Nothobranchius furzeri: one gene and its partners. The protein of the gene in region 1 interacts with the protein of each later gene in a pairwise test. Links are inferred from orthologs where the notes say so. Each region holds a gene or a part of one and is shown in the gene's direction. Other genes may lie near its edges.

The links. The genes of interacting proteins can lie anywhere in the genome.
Region 2: the proteins of gfap (region 1) and nxf1a interact in a two-hybrid assay, tested with the Homo sapiens proteins (3 studies listed by BioGRID and IntAct). The two-hybrid records come from large-scale screens. The link is inferred for Nothobranchius furzeri from reciprocal best matches to the Homo sapiens genes GFAP and NXF1.
Region 3: the proteins of gfap (region 1) and pdzk1 interact in binary tests that used the Homo sapiens proteins (3 or more experiments, as listed by UniProt). The link is inferred for Nothobranchius furzeri from reciprocal best matches to the Homo sapiens genes GFAP and PDZK1.
Region 4: the proteins of gfap (region 1) and pdlim1 interact in binary tests that used the Homo sapiens proteins (3 or more experiments, as listed by UniProt). The link is inferred for Nothobranchius furzeri from reciprocal best matches to the Homo sapiens genes GFAP and PDLIM1.

Annotation. Positions count from the first base shown.
Region 1 is NC_091745.1:10,095,302-10,101,494, forward strand, and holds the start of gfap (glial fibrillary acidic protein), read left to right. Parts: upstream 1-2,019; 5' UTR 2,020-2,036; coding exon 2,037-2,575; intron 2,576-3,888; coding exon 3,889-3,949; intron 3,950-4,043; coding exon 4,044-4,139; intron 4,140-4,221; coding exon 4,222-4,383; intron 4,384-5,357; coding exon 5,358-5,483; intron 5,484-5,645; coding exon 5,646-5,866; intron 5,867-5,948; coding exon 5,949-5,992; intron 5,993-6,193.
Region 2 is NC_091741.1:88,147,260-88,153,204, reverse strand, and holds the start of nxf1a (nuclear RNA export factor 1), read left to right. Parts: upstream 1-2,181; 5' UTR 2,182-2,300; intron 2,301-2,404; 5' UTR 2,405-2,413; coding exon 2,414-2,474; intron 2,475-3,515; exon of another isoform or gene 3,516-3,717; coding exon of another isoform or gene 3,718-3,745; intron 3,746-3,806; coding exon 3,807-3,869; intron 3,870-5,945.
Region 3 is NC_091754.1:24,603,941-24,609,930, reverse strand, and holds the start of pdzk1 (Na(+)/H(+) exchange regulatory cofactor NHE-RF3), read left to right. Parts: upstream 1-2,226; 5' UTR 2,227-2,317; intron 2,318-4,503; 5' UTR 4,504-4,507; coding exon 4,508-4,714; intron 4,715-4,783; coding exon 4,784-4,997; intron 4,998-5,487; coding exon 5,488-5,820; intron 5,821-5,895; coding exon 5,896-5,990. UniProt on the Homo sapiens protein: A scaffold protein that connects plasma membrane proteins and regulatory components, regulating their surface expression in epithelial cells apical domains.
Region 4 is NC_091752.1:6,247,570-6,253,706, reverse strand, and holds the start of pdlim1 (PDZ and LIM domain protein 1), read left to right. Parts: upstream 1-2,373; 5' UTR 2,374-2,530; coding exon 2,531-2,623; intron 2,624-3,942; coding exon 3,943-4,094; intron 4,095-6,137. UniProt on the Homo sapiens protein: Cytoskeletal protein that may act as an adapter that brings other proteins (like kinases) to the cytoskeleton. Involved in assembly, disassembly and directioning of stress fibers in fibroblasts.

The DNA of each region.
Region 1 (6,193 bases):
CATAGATCTGCAGTACTCTTATCTCCAGATACTCCATTAATGGTTGCTGGTGCGGTGGTTTACTGTTGCTGGTGAGCTTTAACTCCTTCCATTTTAATGTGGCACACTGCATTCTTAAATCTAGCATTAGCAGCCTTCTTAGACTCCAGCATCGTCCCAGACCTAGGTTTGCCAGCAGCAACCCAGTCGTTATAAGCTGATAGTTATAATAATAATTATATATATATATATATATATATATATATATATATAAATTATTATTATTATTATTATTATTATTATTGTCTTGTTTTCAAACACCACTCATTTAAACACCAAATGCTGTTGGTTTTTGCCAGTCTGGGGTGTTTAGTCATACTTCAGTAAGAACTGTTCTCTCCCAGGTGGTTGACCTGCAGGTCAAAGGTTGAAATTTGAGAAACTGTTGCTTAAAGGAAACAAAGGTTTGAAAATGTTGGACCAAAAACTGTGAAATAATACAAAGATCTATTTCCTCAGTTATTTATATTTATCATCAACAATTTCTACAGCATTAAAAAAAATAAAGACGATAAAGATTATAGGCTAAAGGGAATTTATTTTCCCCCCTTCTCTGGCAGCTGTTCATCACTTCACCTGCTTCCTGGCCTCATTAGGTAACATTGTTGCACTGAGGGACCCTTCTGGCCACTTACAGAAGAAAGCAGGTCACATTCTCTTCTTCCTGCTCGACTTTAGACGAAGAAAAAGTCAAGAGAAGATTTGCTGAAGTGCTCTGATGTAGCCGGCCCAGCGGTTGTCAAGGTAATGAGTCAAAAGGGTTTTGTAATGCAGCCTCCGTTTGTCATTCTGAAGTTCAGATTAGGTTTGCACTCACCGAACCCCCCCCCCCCCCGTCCTTCTTGTATTCATCGTCGTGCTCCTCTTCATCTACTCCGTCTATCTGTCTCTCCAAGCAGCCGGATGTCAAATAACCTGAAACTAGTTCACAATCATCAGAATCAAAATCTTGTAACTCCTTTTCTTCTTCTACAGCGGTTTGCATCCTCCACGATGATGACAGGATGAATGCTATCATTACCCACAAATGCTGAAAGGATGAATTCATGTATTACTCTACTGTGAAATGAGAAGGTAGCTTTATATAACTGATGATTATTTATCAGACCAGTGATTAAATCCTTTCTGAGAAATGTTAGCTCTGGTCCATGAACTATTTGATTGGCTTCTGCGTGGATCCATAACCAGTTCGAATTAAATCTTTATTTAATTTGTTACCAACAGCCTCGCAAACACTGAAAGCTTGAGCCACAGATGATCAGCAGGGTCTCTCATGTCAGACCTTTGCTGATTTGTCTTCCTGTTTATCTTTAAATAAAACTTTCAGAATGTGTTCATTTATTGTCTCCTCCTATACTTCCTTCATTTTAAGCATTGCAGATATGGATGCAGGACGGAAAACCTGTAACTCTAAAAATGAATCCAATGTTTTAAATTATTCTCGAGTTTATTAGCAGTTATGTCGTTACGTAACTAGATCCCAACAGGAATCGGGAGGAATGTTGATAGTTCAGTCCTACATCTTGTTTATTTAGAGCTCAAAGCATGCTGTGAGCATGTGATTTTATCTTCTGTCTTTATTGCCGACCTCCCCAACATGCTCTTCTGTTTGGACCGGTCCTCCTGCCGCGGCTGCGAGAGTGTGTGTGGTCAGGTTGAATTTGTGGCCAGACTCTGTTGCACAAAATTCCTTTTCATTCGCTTGGAACAGAAAGAAAGAGGGCGAACAAAAACGGGGCGAACGTAAGCGTGAAAGAGTGAGCCCAAGGGGAGAAAAGGGGGAGACGAGAGGGTAAAAAAAAAAATCCAGGAGACATTTGTAGTTGAGTGGAGGAGCACAGACAATCCCTGGCGCATGTAAACCTCCCCTTTGCCATCTCTTTTTGTTCCATTCACTGCCTGCCACCCTCCTCTCTCACTGCCCCAGCCTGTGGCCTCTCTGCTGGACTTGGGGTGGGGGGGTTTCTCCCTATATAAAAGCCCTGTTTGTCCCCTGAATGAGCTTATTCCCTATCATGGACAGCCTTAGAGCACAGTCCTCATACAGGAGACGTTTTGGGCCGCAGAGCTCAAGCAGCTCAGGAGGTAAAATAGGTGGACTATCTTCCCACCGCCTCTCCTGGCATGGCGCCCCTCGAAGCATCACCCACTCCAGCCCCGTCTCCCGGGTCTCCCTGGGCTCCTCCAGCACGGCCTTGCTGCTGGGCAGCCCCGTTGACCGGCTGGACTTCTCAGCTGACTCCTTGTTGAAGGCCCAGTACAAAGAAACTCGTACCAACGAGAAGATGGAGATGATGGGCCTGAACGACCGCTTTGCCAGCTACATAGAGAAGGTGCGGCTTTTGGAGCAGCAGAACAAAGTTCTGGTGGCAGAACTGAACCAGCTGAAGGGGAAGGAGCCTAGCCGCCTGGGGGACATCTACCAGATGGAGCTGAGAGATCTACGACGGCAGGTGGACGATCTCACCAATGGCAAGGCTCGTCTGGAGATAGAGAGGGACAACCTGTCTGCAGACCTGGGCACGCTCAAGCAGAGGTAGGAGAGAACGGTCCCAAAGTAGACCTGGGCCTTTGTGTGTCTTGTGTGCTCGCTGTCCTATTGATGCTTCACAGAAATAATGATGGGATTAAAACTTTTCCCCTAGTCTTTTCTTCCCATCAGCTTATAAATCCAGGAGAAAACCGGAACAGCCCCCAAAAAAGTCTCAGTGCTTCAAACTACATAAAGAGGAGTAATTTGACCTTGTGAAGAATGTTTTTGTTAATTCCTGTAAATACACCTGTCATGTCTGTATTTACGTAGCGCTTCTGTTTACATGTGTTTGTGGTTGGTTGGAATGCAGAGCGCTGTGGTCTGCCTGGGCTTTACTCCTCTATCCCTCTTTACAAACGTGATCCTGACTGAACCCTCGCTGCCATTCAGTCAGTGTGGAGGAATGAAGCAGCACAATGGTGGCGCTCCACAAAGGGAACAGAATGCCAGGCAGATGTAGCTTTCCTCTCTTTCTCCAAAGCACAAAGTCACCACCGCTGGTTATCCGGCTCCTTTTCTCCACATCCACCATCACGCCTCATGTCAGCTTTTTCATTTTGAGACAGGCCAATAGAAAGTCTCAGGGTGGAAACTGGAGGGTTTTTTTTTTTTTTGCCCTCTGACCAAGCAGCTGCTGGTCCTGTGAGAGATTGCAGGATGAATAGGGATGCTGCTGCTTCAGGGGTTAAAGGTCACCTTTTTTAAAATTCGTGCTGCTCTTTCTGTTAGCAACCTCTGCATGAAGCTGCATGATGTCACTCTACGTTTCATTTGCTTCTAGTGGGTAGGATCAGTCTGTGTGCTGCGCTGACACGGATTCTCTCTCTCTCTGTGTGTGTGTGTGTGTGTGTGTGTGTGTGTGTGTGTGTGTGTGTGTGTGTGTGTTCCATCCCGTGGGAAAGGTCTCCTCCGGCTGTTAGATTAGACTGGAAGTGTAATGATGCGTAAGCCGCTGCTCTTTCAGCTGAGTCCTGCCACTCCTCTGCAGCTCAGTAGAAGACAAAACAAAAATCTGAACACATTTTTAAAATACGTTTAATTTTTCTTAATTAAACTTTAGCTAACTAAACTTTGCGCAGGAGTTTGTTTTTTCTGACCCAAGGACCCCAGACATTGTGCTCTCATTTGTGATATATATATATATATATATATATATATATATATATATATATATATATATATATATATATATATATATATATATATATATATATACATATATACATATCAAATGTTTCAGAAATATTTTAGTGTAATTTAATTCCTCCTGGCTGGGAACTCTCAGTAAGAAGCTCTTCACATTTTTCTTGACTCAGGCTGCAGGATGAAATGGGCCTCCGACAGGAAGCAGAGAACAGCTTGAACGCCTTCAGACAGGTGGAAATATTAGTAATATTAAAAAATCTTTAAAATATTGACAATCTCAATGTTGTTTGCTGTCATCCTGCGATGTTTCTCATTATTCACACAGGATGTGGATGAAGCAGCGCTCAGTCGGGTCCAGTTGGAGAGAAAGATCGAGGCCCTGCAGGATGAAATTAATTTCCTGAAGAAAATTCATGAAGAAGTATGAAGAAACGCTGAAGTTGGTCCAAAACAACTAGACAGATTTTAGCAAAATCACGACTTTTGCCACGTTTTTCTTCCAGGAGCTGCGTGAGCTGCAGGAGCAGATCATGGCCCAACAGGTCCACGTTGACGTGGATGTGTCAAAACCAGATTTAACTGCTGCTCTGAGAGACATCAGAGTTCAGTACGAGAATATGGCCACTTCAAACCTGCAGGAGACAGAGGACTGGTACCGATCCAAGGTCAAATATTTTACTTTTAAAGGAGGGATTTACTCATTTATTCAATACTTGTGCAGTGTTCTTTAGTGTAATTCAATGCCTTATGAGCCATAAAAAAAAATAAAGCTATGATGCTCCTGTTATGAGATGCAGATGTTTTCTGGTGCAGAGATGGACTGAAAACAGTAGAATTACTCATTACTATTATTGAATTGCACACGTCTTGCTTCTGATTGGCTAACAGAACATGTTCAGCCATGTCACTGTCACCAAAACACCCTCCGCTCGCTCTCCCTGCTGCAAAAAAAACAAGCCTTCCTGTGGACGGGCGCTTGCCAAGATGGGCGAGACCATGAATGCAAATTCATAGTGTGACATAGATGTGTGAGGATTTTAAAATCCTAGAGTTTCACCATCTATTTTCTATCAGAAGGTAATGCAGGAGATAGGTGTAGGAGACTATTTTCATGTTCACCCTGCATAAAAAACTCAAACTCAACTTTTAACTCATTCACTACCAATGACGACTAAAGTCACTGGCTTTTTTTAACGGGGCTTTGACGATAAACATCAGCTCTAAAGTATATTTTCACCTGTGTGTGTCACATGTCATGTGATCAGGAAGCAGACAATCAATGAATTAGGAAATCGGTTTGGGACACCGCTATGCCTAAAGCGAGGCACAAACCGGAAAAGCTTCTGCGGCTCACACGTGGACAATGGATTGTGAAAGAACACGCTGACTCTACTCTTTCTTTTGGTAGTTTTGGTGTTTACGTGGTCCTAGAGCACAATACTCTGTGAGTCTGGCAGTCGGGGGCTTTCTGTTCAGAAAACGGTGGCAGTGAATGAGTTAAAAAATAAAATAAAAGAAACGCTCAAACCTCTTGCATTGTGACTGAGAGCTTATTGTGGAAATTTTTGTGAAGAGTAAAAGTTGTTATTTTAGAGTAAACATCCAGATAATCTATTTATACATTTTATTTCCTTTGTAGTTTGCTGACCTGACAGACGCAGCCAATCGAAATGCAGAAGCCCTGCGTCAGGCCAAGCAGGAGGCCAATGACTACCGCCGTCAGGTCCAAGTGTTGACCTGTGACCTGGATGCTCTTCGTGGCACAGTAAGCTCGGCTAACCGACAAAACCATCAGGAAAATGTCAAATCTGTAAAATAACAAGTAGGATTTGGTCCTCCTCCTGCTGCCTGATAGATGATTTAATCGTGTTTGATTTGTTTTTATTAACTGACTCACACGACTGTCTCACCTCCTTTGCCATTTGAGAACGAGTCTCTGGAACGCCAGCTTCGGGAGCTGGAGGACCGCTGTGCCATGGAAACAGCAGGTTATCAGGACACGGCGAGCCGTCTGGAGGAAGAGATCCAGACTCTGAAGGAGGAGATGGCACGACACCTCCAGGAGTATCAGGACCTCCTCAACGTCAAGCTGGCTCTGGATATTGAGATAGCCACCTACAGGAAGCTCCTAGAGGGGGAGGAGAGCAGGTAAACCAGAGTGTTGCAGACCCTTTTTTTCATTTTAGCAGTAAATTTGAAATGTAAGTGACTGTTTTTATTCCCACATCAGGATCACCATTCCTGTTCAGAGCTTTGCAAACCTCCAGTTCAGAGGTCAGAATCAAACCCAGCACCATTCATTTATTATGAAACTTTTATGTTCTTGTCTGATTGTTGCAAACCTTCACACCGCCCACATCCTCGCAACTTAGATGAAACTACGTGGTGATCCAATCCAGTTTCTTGTGATGGAATCTGTATAAAACTGGGGGAAACTGGTGATTTTGAGGCTGCACAATAACCCTCCTTTCTGTT
Region 2 (5,945 bases), on another chromosome or scaffold:
ATAGAAATGATATTTTCTTCTTCTTCTTCTTCTTCTTCTTCTTCTTCTTCTTCTTCTTCTTCTTCTTCTTCTTCTCTCCAGACAACAGGGGGAACTCAGAGCTAGTCTGTTGTTCTCCCAGGCACAATAGCAGCTGCTTGTATACTCTTTTAAAGCCCCTTTTAGTCTCTCTGGTTTTGAAGTTTGGAGCCCAGATCCAGTCTGTTGATGGTTTAGAATTTAGATTTGGCCTGTTGTGCTCTTTTGTTTTTTGTTTGGCTTTAGCTAAGAGTAACCTTTAGTTATGTCCAGAGGACTTATTGTTTTGAGCTGTTTTGAGTAGTTGGTCCTTTAGATAGTTAACTGAGTTTTGAGCCGCTGCTCTATTTAGTTACTGCGGCTTCCTCCCACAGTCCAAAAACATGACTGTTAGGTTGATTGGTCTGTCTAAATTGTCCTTAGGCGTGAGTGTGTGTGTGCATGATTGTTTGTCCTGTGTTTCTCTGACTTGCCCTGCGATGGACCAGCACTTTGTCCAGGGTGTACCCCGCCATATTGCCCATTGACCGCTGGAGATAGGCACCAGAACCCCCATACCCCCCCACCCCACCCCACCCCCCCGCGACCCTACATGGACAAGCGGGTACAGACAATGGATGGATGGATGGATGGATGGATGTTCTATTTAGTGTTTGAAATATTAGTTTTGAATAGCTTTCCCTCCCTTATTATTAGTAAGGAGGTGCCCTGTGTTTAAAGTTTTCAATTAACCATCATAGTTCCTTTTTTATGGGACTCTTTTATTTAAAATATGAGTCATTGGTTGGTTCCCTTTCACCTTTTAATCCCGTGTTATTCCCTCCTGGACCTGCTAGACCAGATAGGGGTGTAACATAACCAAATGTGTTTCTAAAATCTTAAACTTCTGTCACAGATGTCTGCTGGACAACGAGTGGGATTTAAACAGAGCTGAACAGATATTCAGTTGAAGGTAATGCAAAATCAAATTTTCCTATTGCGATTTTCTTTACACAGATGAATATGGTTCTGATGGTTTTTTCCATTATTGATCTGCAGAATTTTATTTGAAAAAACATTTCAGGAAGTTGTCACACAAACTCTGAGAAGGTACAACAGCGCCAACATTAACAGGATTAATTAAACAGTTTAAAACATTAAAAAGGACCTGAGGTCTGTGGCTGTTTGTTGCCACAAGCTGAGACATCAACTGGGATTTAGCTAGTTTTACAGAATTATTAAAAGTTATTAAGCATCTGCAGAGACACATGCAAGCCCATTCTTACACATAGCATCCTACTGGCTAGATATGATCAATGACCAAGAATCCACCTGAGGGAAAACATTTTATATCATCAATCTGATATGCCAAATGCCATTGGGCTTATTCATAAATGTTGATATATGCTAAACAATGACGTTATCTGAAAATTTGGTCAAACAACATAAAGAAGAAAAAGGGATTTTCGGGTGTTTGTCGCCTCCTGGCGGTTGATCTCTTTTACCTAATCAACATAAATGCTAAACAATAGCTGACATGTAGGGGTCAGTTTGTGTCAAGTATTAGTAGGTTTCTAAAGAAGAAGGTAGCTAGGGCTTTGGGGGCATGGAGAATTCAGACATCATGCCACAGACTCAATACTTCAATTATCATCTTATCTGCATAAAATTTCGTGAGTGTCCGTATACTACTCACAGCCACGGTTGTGACACTAGGCCGGAGTGACACCAAGCGAGGGCTAGAAGACGCTGGTTGCAGCTTTAATTTTTTCTTTCTTCCTTTTCTAAGTGTATGTGCTGCTGTAGCAAGTGAATTTCCCCACAGTGGGATTAATGAGGTCTATTCTATTCTATTCTATTCTATTCTAAACACATTTATCAGACAAGAATAAAAATATTTTTTATGTTTTTTTAAACATTGTATTATTTGTTGGAAAATGAAGCAAGAAGCAAACAATACGTTAAAAAAAATGTAAATCTCGGATGATCTTGACATTACACCTGCTGGTCTCTGTCGATCCCAGCAGGTGGCGTCACGTCATTAACTGCGTGCATAGGAGGAAAAGTGTGGGACAAACACAACCTAACATCTTAGAGGGAAGAAAATTCACGTTTTAGTTAAAATATTATGAAACTGGGGGAAATTATTTTGAGCGTCAATATAACCGACATATATCGATGGTTGTCAGACTGTGCTTCTGAGTGTAGCTCGAAAACCGCCATGCTAACGTAAATAGCTTGCTAACGCTAACATCTAGTGGGTTCCGTTCAAAAGACTAAAAACCGATAAACCCGTTTAAAGTGTAAGTTGTAATTGTCTCGCGCTGCGCACATTTGAGTTGATTCTTTGTTTTTAGTAACAACGTATTTCAAACAACAGTGTAAGATTTATCTGATTTTCTACTAGATTGGCCACATGATTCCGATTTGGAAAAGCTACTCCAACTTAGCCGTGGTGACACGTGTGCTAAATGATGGTAAGTGAAATAAATATTTGTCCCAGCTTTGTTTAGTCTTTACGATGTCAACATTATTTTCATTTATTCTTATGTATTGTTACGATTGAGTCGTTCTAAACTTAGACGTGACTAACGGTTTGATTCCTCCCCGCTGGAGCACATGTTTCTCATTTCCATGGTCACATGTTAATTTCAATGCATCTGATAGATAATCAGATGATGTATTGTTACCATTAAAGACTAGATTATATGGTCACAATTTAAAATTCCAATGACCTTGATAAAGTTGCTCATAAAATTTGTATAAAATTCATGTTTTGCATGAAAAATAAGGAAATAAAAGTATGTGTATGAGGAATATGGTTTTCTTTTAGTTACCGATATGGCTCGCACTAGGGCTTACAAACAGTAACAAACACAGAAGCCGGTGAAATCTCAAAAACTTAGTTGGATATGAAATACTCAGCAGCAATTGAACTTTACTTTTCTAAATTCAGACTCACTTTGGTCTGTTCTGCATCATAATTTCTCATGAAAGGTTTAAGATTGTTTGCTGAGACATAAACAATGTTAATAATTTATATTTCTGCATTATAAAGGCATCTGTTACTTGACGTTTATTGGTTATTGTAACTGCAGCTTGTAATGTATTGCTCTTGTATTTATATTTATTGACTCAGTATATCATCTACTGAAAATTAAATTACTGTTGCAGCATCATCATTTTCGTGTTAACAGATATCTTAAAATATTTTTAAAATGAAAGTTTTTTTTTTTTTAGTTTTTAGTTGACTGAAGGTTAGGCACTAACATTTTGTTCTATTGAATACTTCTGTTCACTAGCTGTGGAAAGGGAGCCGATTTGAGTCCAGAAAAAAATACCTAGTAAGTGCAACTAATAGTATCGGCATAAGCTACAGCTAACGAGTTTTCAAATGTATTCGTATAAATATGTGTTACGACCGACTGGCTTTTCTCTTGCGCGAGTTATATATTTGAATTCCAGGGGAAATTATGCCCCGGAAACGGAAGTTGAGCAAACGTATATTTCCGCTATGACCTCAACTTGTTAGCAGAAGGTGTTCGCTAAGCTAAGTTACTAGCGAGTTCGAAGTTCACTTCGTTCAGCTTCTACGCTATTTTTTTTAACAGGATTTAGTGTTTGAGCTGTTTTTAGTGTCACTGTTCTGTGTTTTGTGAAAGAAAGGTCAAAGCCCGCGGGGTATTTTCACTCCGTAATTCCCCCCTTCAGTAACGCAACATGGCGGACGGCGGTCATTACTACAACGGTAAGAAACATGTCTGTAGCATTAACCTTTTATCTGTGCTGTTGTCACCGCTTTTCTTCAGACTATGGAGATTTTGTTGTGAAGAGAGAGGTCTCAAGCACAGGTCTCACGGTGCAAGAAGCAGGTAACGTGAGATCTGCTCACAGATGTTTGATCAGTCCCGTTTTAGATATAGATTGTTTAGTTAGTACTTGTGTGGTGGTTTCTGGTAACTGTTAGTTACCAGTTAATGGTCCGATTATTCAAAACATGTAATACTCCTAAGAGAACGATCAAACGAAGATATGAGGTCTTTTAAAATAAACAGGCTAAAAATGAGCTTTAACATTTTTAATACAATCTTTTACATTTTTATTTCCTTTTATTCACTGCTCCATAGTCATGGAACAGGTTACAGGAAAACTGGAAATTAACCAAACTTATCTCCTTGAATACATTTCAAACCAAATTGAGAACACTTGAGATTAGGGCTGCACGACATTAGGAAAACCTGCGATATTCGATAACAGTGCTTAATATTGCAATATCGATATTACTCACGATAAATGAACAAATACTAAAGTAGGGCTGCTCGATTATGGCAAAAATAATAATCACGATTATGGTGACTGAAATTGAGATCACGATTATTTAGGACGATTTTTCAATTTATGTTGATTTTATTTGTTTTTATTCAGTCATAAAATTGCTCAGGGCACAATCAGGACAAAAATAAGAAACAAGATGATCACTAAAAGAACTCCTGATTCCCTGTATAAAAGACCAATATACTTATAGCTCATAGTCTATGACCCAAGGGCTGTAGACCTTGGTTTAACTCATTTAAGTCTAACCAGTACAGAACCAAATACCAATATCTTGCAAATACTGACAGCAAGAATTATACAGTGGCATTTATAACAAATAAATGCAAATAAATTGATGTTCACAAAATGTTGCATAACATTTATTGAGTTGTGTCAAGGTGCTGTAGGAGAGTGCACTAGCACGGTGTCCTCAGAGAGATTAGTTATTATTTATCACCAGCGTGAGGAACTTATTTCTACCTTATTTACAAACTATTTATTTACAAGTCCATCAGTTAATGTAATAATTGTCCCAACCACAGCTGCACCCCCCAACCCGGTCTCACAGCAATCAGGGGCACGCTGCACGTGTGTTTAGTGCGCCGCACGCGCACATTTAGCTGTTTTTAGCGGCTCAGGAGTCCGCAGGTGCGGTGTGTGTGTCACTCACTCTGGTTACTCCAACAGGGAGCAGAGCGGCTCCGAGAGCTGTCTTTAGCGACCGACACATCACTACATCATTCCCTTTCCTAATGTCCTGAAGAACGGTCCGGAGTGCAGGCGGAGTGTTTAGCTAACCTGCAGGAAACGTCGACCACAGTTATCCAGAAAGTAGCTAAGGGTTACCAGAGATGTTTCTGAGATGTTCGCCAGGTACTTTTGGGATTAAAAAGTCAAGAAGGGGGTCTGAAAAGCTGCTAGAAATAGCGTCAAAGTCGCCAAGTTGGCAACACTGTGGAGGAGCGCTTCATTTGCAACTCAGGGCAGCGCAAGCGGGAGGAGCAAATAATCGGCTTGTTTTGTTTTTTATAATCGTTCAAAACTCAGATCGTAATCGTGATTAAAATTCGATTAATTGAGCAGCCCTATACTAAAGTATGCATTGTTGATGTTGTCTGGGGTGTGACGTCTGCTCTGGGTTCAAAGCAAACAAAAACTAATGCATGAATTCCATTACAACATATTTCTATTGCAAAAATATGCAGCTCCACCTGCTACTGTAGTAGCAGCAAAACAACAAACTGCATGCATGCAGTTTCTCAGTGACTTTAAAACATCACCACCACCATAAAAAATTTTCTGATGCTCCAAATACAGAAAAACATCCCTAACCAGGGTTTTTGAATAAATAAATAAAAATCAGAAAATTACTTTAAGTGTCAAATAATAGTTAACATCACTTAAATGCAACAGCAAATTCTCTCATTGCTACTGAACATTTTCTCCACTTATGTGGTTATGATATAAGGCTGTTGCTGCAATTGGGAAGTGATCTGTGCTGGGCCAAACTAGGAGAATATTAAGATTTTCTGAGGGAAAGAGAAAAACAATTGTCTACCTTTCAGAAGAGGAACTGGCAAAAAAACTACATGGAAAATATGTGAAAATGTTTGGTTTTAACCCCAAATTGAACA
Region 3 (5,990 bases), on another chromosome or scaffold:
TGCTCAGAACACTGACCCATCAACTGGACGGGCGTCTGACTAGTGCAGTAAACGTGATATCTGCATGAAAAACAGTAAAACTGATCCCTGGGCTTGTGCAGCGTGTTTTACCTGAAAGTAGCAATTCAATTTGTATTAAATGCAAATTAAAAATTAGTTTACAAATTAATGGACTGTTAATCTTTGCAACTGTGCAAATTAAACATCAAAACAGTTTTATTCTAATTTGGATCATTTGAAGCTGTGTAAAAATGTGCTGGAACTTTTATTAATGAGCCCGTTCTAGTCGCCAGAGGTGGATAATGATGAGGTCACTCGTCCATCAGAGTTAAATCACACATAGAATCATTCTCCTGCCCTTTAAAGTTTAGTAACTAACTCTAACGTGCACGATTAGAAACAAAAGCAGATTATTAGGAAAAGATGGGGTTTTGGGCTGTGAGGTAACAGTGTTAGCCACCACATCATTGCACCAACCACCTGGTGGAACATCTGAGCCAATTAGGATAACCGACAACAGCTCAGAGACGCCATAAAATGCAACAAATGTGGTCATTTCATTGCCTGCAGTACACAACATCACTGAAATATTCAGATAATTAAAGGAAATCTGTGTATGCAAACGATTCCTGAGTGTTCATGATCCTTGGGCCATTTAAAGCCTCAACAATTCTGGGTTCAGAGATGCATAAAAAACATGTTGTCTTTAAAAACCCACCTTTCATCAGGATTCTGAAGCTTTGCCAACATCTCTGGACATAAACTCTAGCAGGCTGTTGTTCTGTCTAACCTTACTGGCATGTAAATCCTGCAAAAAAGTCAAGTTAGCCACATTTAGTTTGATTGTAGGAAGCAAAAAAATAAAAAAATAAAATAAAATCACAAGCATTCTTCTAAAGATCTGAGTGCTAAACAGTACTGACAGGAACCCAGGAACTGATCATGACCATTTACTTTGTTACTGCTCAATGCAAAAAGGAGTAAAATGCCTAATTTAACAGTTTTCCCTTGTAAATTTGAAAGAGACACTTTTGACTGTGTGCAGTTTGTGCTGCACTTCTTACAGCATAGAACAGGAGGCTGTAATGTGATCCACATTCTTGCAGGCTGTCCGGAACCTGGATAATGGATGCCCTTGCATCTTTCCACCATCAGCGACTAATTTCTATCAATGTGCCTTAATGCTTCTAGTGGTAATGCCCTATTAAGGGCAGCAGTGTGCCAAAAAAATAAAGAAAATGTGCCAACTCAAAGGTTTTCTGACAGAAATCAATGCACTGAATATGATTTAGAGCTTATAACAGAATCAGTGTTTTTCCAACATGCATAAGAAGTTTATTTTTTTAGAATCATTTGATATTTTACTAAAGCAGAATCAAAATGAAAATAAAAGTTTCCATCTAGTTTAGAAAAAAATGTCCTATATCAGCCACAAATAAGGTAAAGACAGATGATTATTTCCTTCATGATTCATTTAATTTAATTTGTAATTTTAGTTATTGCTTACCTTTATTTTAAAATATTTGAGATGCTATTATGAAGTCCCCTAGTGTCCAAGTCCTCATGCTTGCTCCTAGAATTTGACATTTATGACACGTTTCTGTAAAAACACACCTTTGTCCAGTCCATATGACAGCAGTACAAGACCTTCATACCTACAGCTACAGTAACAATAAACAATACACCCACGTTTACTGGGAACATCATAAAAAACCTTGTAGACGGAGTACGTACATGACAAACTACAATAAAACCTCTGTGAAATAAATCCTCGTTCTCTTCACTGAGTGCTAGAGATTATCTAAATCAAACTAATAAAAGTAATAAAAAATAAATAAACCACACATGAAAATATAATAAAAAATATCCATATTGAATTTAATTGGACATTTATTTTTGCTAAATGTTGTTTTTCCACAACATAAACTTTCATAAATCAGATACTAAGTATGTTTTCTTAATCTTAATGGCTGATGGCCTCTTCTGTGTGTTTTATTCATGAATTTTAGATAAATAAACATAAACAGGATGCAGTCTTGTGGATTCTGACTATGATGTGTGAACATGGCTGTTCAGCAGCCACCTGCTGCAAACTTTGAAAAATAAATAGATGACTGCTCGCACTCGACAGACTGCAAAGAGCCTCAGACACTCATGACACAAGACGTTGTTAAATAACTCTTTAGGCTGAACTTTGACCTGTCAAAGTCCCTTAGGGAGGTGGGGAGGGGGGAGTGCAGGTTTAAGATGCCATAACAGCTAATCAGTGACAGGTGAGCTCCCCCTTTAGACGCAGACACTCAACAGAGGAGAGTCGGTGAGTGAAATGTTTATTTTACTCTTTATTTTTTATTGTTATACTTTTTTTTAAATAAATTTGGGGAAATTTTAAGATTCATAAAGGTTTCCTGTGGAGATTAAAGAACACGTTTAATCATTTGCTGGAAAACCTCTGATACTTTAACAGGTGAAAAAATATCAACAAGTTAAAAACGGTGTTATCACTGTTTGTTGCTTTGGGTTTATTGATATTATTTTCCAATTTTTAAGTATTGAACAGAATAATCTACTTCTTTGGGGCTCTTAATATTAAACTAGCTTTATATTTTGGTGAAAAAGCTGTTAAAATCAAATCTAATACGACGTAAACTTTATAACCACATTACAAATATGTACCGCTTTTAAATAACTATTAAACTTTTAATAGTTGTATCAATACTTCAGCTGTAAGCACAAGTAAAAAAAACAAGATTAATAAAGTCAAATGAAGCATACAGCTAAACATTTCTTTTATAAGGATAAAATAAATATTACACCTTTTTAACTCTAAGATAAAGGTCATAACTCTATTTTAAGTTGTTATTAGTGTGTTTTTAATTATTTAATTGCCTAAATTATACATTGAAATAGTTAAAACTAATTAAAATACATTTTGTATTTAATACATCATGAAAACAAACCCAAAGTTTTTATTAATTTACAAATTTCTTAAACGTTGCAATGAATCTCGTTTAAGACATGAGTGTTTGCGTTTTTAATATAAGCACACCTGCCTTTTATAGCATCCCGCTGAGAGTTAAACCCACAACCCTTAATTTGGATTCAAAGTCCAGTGATTTTTATTTCACTGTCAGCTGTGTGTCCTGCAAATCATTACATGCCTGTTGTCATGGAAGAGTAACTTTTCATCCTCTATCAGCACTTCTGTCACGTCTTTATGTGCTGAAGTATCCACTCTGATAAATATGCTTAATGCGTAGCACAATAGATTACAAGGTGAACTAATTTATGATCGTCAACAAATGTAAAGGGGAAAAACAGCTGTTTAAGTTCGATTGCATTTTCCAATCTCAAAGCTCTAAAACCAAAATAAGTCTAAGGCTTAACTGGCTTGGTCAAATTTATTGACACTTTAAAGGTGTGGAACACTCAGTTAATCAATGCATCGGCAATGATCTCTAGCAGAAAGAAATGGATTCTAATTTATGATGCTCCTGTTTCAGCACAGAGAAGTAAGCTGAAGGAGAAAGTAGCTTCAGACAACAAGATTAGTAGTTTTATTTCCTGATATTTGGTCATCTTGCATTGGATTGGCTAACAGCAACGTGACAAAAGTTAACGTTTTATCTCCACAAATAACTCAACCCTGAAGGAGTTCTGCTGTGTGGTGGAGTTGCTAATGCTAACTAGATTCCACTAGCCAAGACGTTCTCTGCTGATTCCTGGATGCTAAACCAACAACAGCCTTCCCCATCACGAGTCAAGATGGGTGAATCCATGCATGGATATAAATTTTGGTGTGTGTGTGTGGTTGGGGGGGGGGGGGGGGGGGGCATGTCACCCCCCCCCCCCCCACACACACACACACCCCACACCCACGCACACTTTTGCCAAAGTCATGTTTTGACCCCTGCACTTTTTATCGTCCAAAAACAATATTACTCTATATTAAGTAGACACTGGTTGAGCTCTAGGACCAAGTGGAAAACAACTGTTTGTGTTGAAGCCTGTTTCCCATTAGAACATACTGAAAAGATTCCCGCTGGTCCTCGGTTGTCCCCCCACCCCTTACGCCTAAGACTTAACTATATATATATATATATATATATATATATATATATATATATATATATATATATATATATATGTGTGTGTGTGTGTGTGTGTGTGTGTGTGTGTGTGTGTGTGTGTGTGTGTGTGTGCAATACAAGGGAGACGATATGATTTACTGTGAAGTTAAAAGCTGACAATATTTGCAGATGTTAAAACAGTTTTATTTGAAAACTGAGGCCAAATGCTTCCAAGACACATTCAGTATTATTGTGAGATCTCGCTGGTTTGTCAGAATGAAGGCAGTAAAAGCTGCTGCCACCTAGCGGCCGGAGTTTGAATTGCACCACACAAAAGAAGTACAATACATACAGAATATTGCGATATTACATTGTCTCAACATTTTCTTGCATCTCTGTTAAGTACCGTTTATTATTTCTTTGTTCATGTTAGGACAATGGCCACGTACACGCCAAGGGTGATCTCCCTGGCCAAGAGGCCTGGTCAGACATTTGGCTTCTTTCTGAGGGTGGAGCAAAGTAAGGAGGGCCACCTGATTCGCTGCCTGGAAATGGGAGGTCCAGCTGAACTGGCTGGTATGAAAGATGGAGACCGCATCCTTCGGGTCAATGGAAAATTTGTCGATGGGCTTACCCATTCAGAGGTGAGCAGAATGTAGATACACAGCAGATCCAATCACCAGCAGTGAATTTCCATGGTGTCCCTCTACTAGGTGGTGGAGCTGGTGAGAAACAGTGGAGCATCTGTCACATTCCACATTCTGGATGAATCGTCTTACAATCAAGCAAAAACACTCGGAGTGAACCTCTCCGACCCTCAAAGCTCACCCATTGCCAACGGATTGGCTAAAGAAGATTGGAAGCCCAAACTCTGCTACCTGGTCAAATCTAAGTCAGGATTTGGGTTTTCCATTAGCTCATTTAAAGGTAAGGTACATTTGTAAAGGGTTAAAGAAAATCTACAATTCTCAAGATTGCAACTTAAAGTCTAAGTCAATGTTAGCAGTATTTAAATGTTTATGCAAAAAGAAAAAAATACCTTTTAATTAACCCATTTGTGCAATTTTAATACTTGGATTGGCTACTTTCACAACTCATTTTATTTATTATTTATTTTCATAAAGTAATTAAGTCAGAAAAAAATGATCTATTGAAACACAAGCTATGATTGGGTTTGTCTTTTTCATTTGAGAAGTACACCAATAACATTTGAACTACTTTGACCCTATATCTGAGTTGTCCTACATGCTACTATGACTTATACTTGTACTTCACTCTGAAGTTGTTAGATGAGTAACAGAACACACCTATGATAACATAAACCACTCCTATGTGGTTTTCCATCAGCAACAGCAACACTCTCACCCTTAGCAACACATGTTATCTGCTTATCTATCTATATGCCTTATGACTATAGGAGAGGAGGGTCTGTTCATGACTGAGGTGATTCGGGGGGGTGTGGCGGACAAAGCAGGAGTTCGTGCCAAAGATCGTCTAATTGAAATCAATGGTGAGAACGTTGAAAAATGCACCCACGAGGAAGCAGTGAACAAGATAAAACAGGGGGGCAACAGCGTGATGTTTCTGCTGGTTGATGAGGAAACCGACAAATTCCATCAGAGCAAACAAGCAAAATTAGGTTCGTGGAGAGCAACAGTCAAGTATCTTCCTCTCCATCCACGCATCGTCAAAATGACCAAAGGATCAGATGGATATGGCTTCCTGCTCAGAGAGGAGCCCAACCAAGCAGGCAAGGCCATGGTAACATGCTGTACTTTTCACTCCGGAGTGATGGCCTAATAATGTACTCCTTTACTTCTTTCAGGACACTTCATGAAGGAAGTAGATAAAGGCAGTCCAGCGGAAAAAGGTGGTCTGATGGAGAATGACGTAGTTGTCGCTGTGAATGGCAAAGAGGTG
Region 4 (6,137 bases), on another chromosome or scaffold:
GATATAACAGTTGATTTTTGGATACAGGTCCCAATCATATAACTCTTGCAGACACGTAATGTCGGAATAACAGCAGTCACATAACGTGCTTGACTTCACCCAAGGCCTTTGTCTGTCTTCATAAAGTTCCAGAATCCATCCCAGTGAGAAGTTCCCTCTCTGCTGTCTTCACTCATTCTACATTCATACGATGCAGATTCGGCCATTGCACAGACCCATTACTTAACCTCTGGAGATTCTACTGTGTCTACGATGTCATAATTTACGCAGTTTGGTGGTCTCCTACAGAGGGCCATAAAAAAATGTTTTTCTTCTAATCATTAAATGTGACACAGCCACCCTCCCGGTACTCCGAGTCATGGACGTAGTTTTGGGGGGGTCAGGGGGGACATGTGTACCCCCCACCCCCACTTTTTCCATAGTCTTTTTCTGTCCCCAGCACTTTTTACCGTCTAAAAACAACATTACGCTATATTAAATAGACACTGGTCGAGCACAAGGACCTAGGGGAAAACATCCGCTTGTGTTGAAGTCCGTTTCATATTAGAACCATCCTTGAGGTCATCTACTGGCTCTGCTGATACATGCTAACGTGTGATTGGCCATTCCTGCCACCTGTGTACTTGACAGTCCTGCATTCCTGACATTGCATAAATAAGCCTCTAGGCCAGGGGTGTCAAACTCATTTTAGCTCAGGGGCCACATTGAGGAAAATCTAGTCCCAAGTGGGCCGGACCGGTAAATTAAACACAACTTTAGATTGTTTTCTTTGTTTTAATACAATCACTATAAAACAAAGCTGGAGCCTGAGAACAGTGTATTCAAAATAGTACAAGTACAACACCTGAAGTGTACTTGAAAATTTGAAGAAAAAAAAAATATATATATAATATATATATATATTTATATATATATATATATATATATATATATATATATAATTAAATAAAACATTCCTTAGTGATTCAGAGCTTACTGATAACATGGCTAGATCAGTTCCATGCAGCACTTAAAGTATATTTGACTCATTTTGCTTTACATCTTTTAGCTTTCACCAGCACATCAATATCAGAAGTCACATCCTGAGTGGCGGCCAACTTCAGGATGTGATTCAAGTTCTTGTGTGAGCCTTGAGCGCAGCTTTGTATTATTTATACTCATTACAGAGGAAATTTGCTCACAAAGATAAGTTTATTTTCACTCTACATTGTAAAGTATGAAAATAAAGTTTACACAACCATCTCGCGGGCTGGAGTTAACCTGTTTGCGGGCCGGATCCGGCCCGCGGGCCGTATATTTGACACCCCTGCTCTCGACTGTACTTTTATACATAGTTATTGTATACTTACTGTAAAGACCCCCCCCCCACACACACACACACAAACACCACACACACACACACACACACACACACACACTTCTAAAGTCAAAACTACGTCCATACTCTGAATGGACTAAATTATAGCGCATATTATGAGGTTCCGAACCTCATATTGGTGGCTTCAGTTCAAACACTGAAACCCACATCATGAAATATTAAGTGTAGCTTTATCTTTTACGCTGAACCTTCAGACATGCAGACTTTGCATGTGGGCTTTTGTCTGAGCTGTGCCACAGGTGAGGCTGTTTGCTTAAGGGGCTGGTGACACACGTATTTTTGTTAAACAAGGGCAGGACTTCTGGTGAGCTTCTGTATGCTCATCTAGATGATTAAAATTCAGTAAAGGTATGACAAAAGCAATGTGTAGTTTTAAATATCAGAAAATGAAAGCAGGGTTTAGTGAGGAAGTATCTATGGGTGTGTTTAGATCAGTCTGTCTGCCAAAAGCACCCCCACCCACCCCACTTTCCTTGCAGGAATTCGGGCTTTGGGAGTGGCACAGTCCACATCCTGGGATTTTACTCTACCATAAATGGTAAGCGCGCACATAACATGATGACGTCAGGGCAGGTCTGCATCCCTAACTAAAACAGAGATCATGAGAGGGTAAAATCCGAGGAGGCACCGCTCTGCTCCACCTTAAAGAACTTTAGTTGCATGAACATTTTTCGTAGTAGACAATTAATCACTTTTAAGTAGCATCAGTTTGTCATTTTGGGACACATAATGTTTTAATAAAGCTAGTTTCTGTAATATTACTGTAACACAGGGCTCGGGTGTAGGGTAGGGGCTATTTTAGTGTTCCTGCACGTTAAAAGAGGATGATATTATACAAATATTCTCTTCTGTAGGAGCGTGCGACATTCAATAATTATTTATTTAAGAAAACAAATAACTGTACCGTCACGTGATCAAGAGCAGAGCTAGTTTGTTTACTGACATGGAAACGCGCCGTAGTGAGACATCTTCCTAATACACGATCTCCATAGTATCAGCGAGGAAACGCGGACTTGCCCAACTGAAGGTGAAGGGTCCGCCTTCTGGTTAAATGCTGGCGAGCTGCAGTCAGGCTCAGACCTCGGGCTGCTCAGGAACCGCGCCACAAGTGTGAACAAATAATCTTTTAGCTGCACTTACGACACTCACGTGATGCCTCTCCAGGTTACGTTGGAGGGTCCTGCACCCTGGGGCTTCCGGCTCGTCGGGGGCAAAGACTTCGAGCAGCCTCTGGCCATTTCTCGGGTGAGTTGAACTTTTTTTAAACATGGACTCGTGAAAAATCCACCCCGTTGTAACAGTTTCTAAAATTACAACACAGAGTGAAAGCAGAGTAAGACCTCATCTGGTAGGTTAAGTGTAGGCTAGTTAGCATTAGCTTCATCTGTTTGTTTTTTTAGCGGCGGTCAAGCGAGCCGACATCTAAACATACGGTCAAGCCAGCTGACGTTTACAAGCGGCTAGTATTTACTTGCTCGTTTACATCGTGTATTACGGTTGAGTCGTTGTTTGATCGTGCAGTCTGCAGAGCTACGTTTTTGATGAAATTGGCAGCATATTTGTCCAAAAGTATTATTTAGTTTTACATGTTTTATATTTACCGCGACAATGCAGGGATTCTTTGCATTCCTAATGTCCTTTTTGGCACTCGTAAGGAACTTTTACCGTAATATCTGATGTATGCGTGCAAGAAAATCTTTCTCTAATTTTAAACAGCCATAAACTAGTAATTTTCTCTCTGGTTGTCAGCAGACGTGGAAACCCAGCCTTTTTATGGTTGTGACATGTTTTAGCCCTTTTGCCTTTTATTTTACAACTATGAACAGTCACGCTGAGTTTTTTCTACAGATGAGTAACGGTGACGCTCCTGAAACTGTGAGGTAGCAGATTATGACTCTGCTGTGTACTTTGCCTCAGTAGGGAGTACTCTTGTTTTTTTTTCTTGTTATAAACACCACCCATGGAAATGTGAGGATGAGGAATTCCTGGACTGTGCTTTTCATTTTATCTGCTCATATCTGGATGAAAAGTCTGCCCAGTGGGCCAATAACTGATGATAAATGATAAATGACCTGCACTTGTATAGCGCCTCTCAGAGTAAGGACTCCAAAGCGCTTTACACTAGTGTATCATTCATCCATTCACACACACACACATTCATACACTGGTGGTGATGAGCTACGATGTAGCCACAGCTGCCCTGGGGCGCACTGACAGAGGCGAGGCTGCCGAGCACAGGCGCCAGCAGGCAAGGTGGGTTAAGTGTCTTGCCCAAGGACACAACAGCAGAATTATCTGTCCGGAGCCGGGATCAAACCTGCAACTTTCCAATTACTGGACAACCCGCTCAACCTGTTGAGCCACTGCTGCCTGTTCCTAAGTGGCTCTGCTACCGTTTACTGAAAACTCAACAATGTGTGCAGCTTTCAGACCATAAATATTTTTCAGGAGTATTTTTCCCCAAATGTTCTACAGATGTATTAATAATTACATACAACTGTTGTGAAGGTGTCCAGTACCCCCAAACCTACTGATGAGTACTTCCGTAATGTTCTTTGTTGCAGGTGAACCCTGGGAGTAAAGCAGCTGAAGCCAACCTGCACATGGGGGACATCATTGTTTCCATCAACGGAGAGGCAACCGAGAACATGACTCACTTGGAGGCACAGAACAAGATCAAAAATTGCGTTGACGGAATGGTGCTCTCTATAGACAGGTGGGCTGTCTGAACCACGTTGGTCTCTGCTTTTTGCAGATGATGTGGTCTAGGGCTGCAACAAACGATTATTTGGATCATCAGTGAATCGGGTGGGGTCTCGACTCTATTAAACGGATTAAACGGGAAAATTTAAATCAATCAAACTTTATTTAGAAACCGCTTTTCATACAAAAAATGTAACTCAGAGTGCTTTACAGGTTAAAAAGACCCCACATATCCCACAAATGTCATTAACTAAATTACTTAATTAAAAACTACTAGGGAAACATTTTCTCTCTCTCCTCTCTTTACTTTATTAACAACAAAACATGATTAGAAAACAGTTCAATAGCATGCGAAACAACACGTAGTATATCCATGATTAAACTATGATCAGTACAGTTTGATGTATTTCATTGACATGTTCCATAGTAAGCGACTGGAAATGCTAATAACATTTAATTTCTACTGCTAAAAATGTAATGGTGACATATTTAGGATGCACGGTTTGGCAATAATCCAGTTTAAATTATGTTCACAGATAGACGCATTTGTGAATTAGATGCTACAGGGGCTTGCCATAATCCCGCTGCGGTGTGCAGCAGAGCAGACTCAATCCTGACAGCAGTTGTTCTGCTCCGTAGAGCTGCAGACAGCTAAGAATAAACAGGATGGTGAGGTCTTTTCTTCCACATAGAGTTTAAATGTTCTTAGTTTCGCAACCATCGTGTTTTTATTGTGAGCCTGCTACCCGCTAGCATTAGCTAGTCTGCCCGTATTTGCGCTTTTGATCCCAAATTGTTTCTGCCTTTGTGTCTTTGCTGGTATCCGTTTTCCTCCACAGCACCTAGATTAGCACACGGTGCGTCAGTAAGCGTGTCGTTCCTCATCAAAACACCGGCTTTCTCTCTCCTGATCTGCCTCCATCTGCTCTGTTGCCTCCTACACAAGAACTTCGCACATTCACTGTTAAATAAAGGTTGCGCAACACAACAAATCGATGACGAAATGCGTTACCAATGCATTTCGTCGTCGATTTTTATCGATTCTTTGTCGCAGCCTTAATGTGGTCTTGTTGGCTTAACCGGACAGCGATCTCCATCTTTCGCTGGAGCGGTTCGCAGCTGAGTGTGAAGCAGCTGGAATGAGAATCGGCTCCTCTAAATCGGAGAACATGGTCTTAAATCGGAAAAGGGTAGAATGCCTTCTCCAGGTCAGGTTTGAGGTCCTGCCTCGAGTGGAGGAGTAAGTGTCTCAGGGTGTTGTTCACGAGGGAAAGATGGAGCTCGGAGTTGACCCGCTGCTCCTCCACGTCGAGAGGAGCCAGTTGAGGTGGCTCGGACATCTGGTCAGGATGCCTCCTGGACGCCTCCCTGGCAGGGGCGGATTTAGGACTGAAGAAGATCCGCGCGCGTGACACGCACTAGTCAACATCATATATATTACAAATCACAAATATTTTCAAGTAAGACTCACAAACCGGAGTCAACACCAGTCTCATCAAAGCTGGGGTTCTGTCGCGGTACTTTTTGACTAAAAACGTCTTTATATCCATCTTCACATTTGCGTTTCAGACAGAGACTAGAAGAAGCCAGGCACTGTAGAAGAAGCCGGCTGCTGAAGGGCTTCTACAGTGGTGGAGGCTCAGGCAGGCTGTATACAAACTACTGCCAGCTGCTCCCTCTCTGTTGGACTTTGGTACTGCATGTTACTTCCGCGATTTAGATTCGGGGCTTTTCATGAAACATCCGGGGGTTCAGCCCAAGTAGCCGGGCCTAACGCCGCCCCTGCTCCCCGGTGAGGTTTTCTTGGCACATCCAACTGAGAGAAGACTCAAGGGAAGACCCAGGACATGCTGGGCGGACTATGTCACTCACCTGGCCAGGGAACGCCTTGGGTTTCCCTCGGAAGAGCTGGCCCAAGTGGCTGGGGAGAGGGAAGTCTGGGCGTCTCGACTTAGGCTACTGCCCCCGTGACCCGATTCCAGATAAGCGATGAAGATGGATGGATGTGGGAAGACTGGCTGACCCCACCCACTCGATATTGACATGAATAATAAAT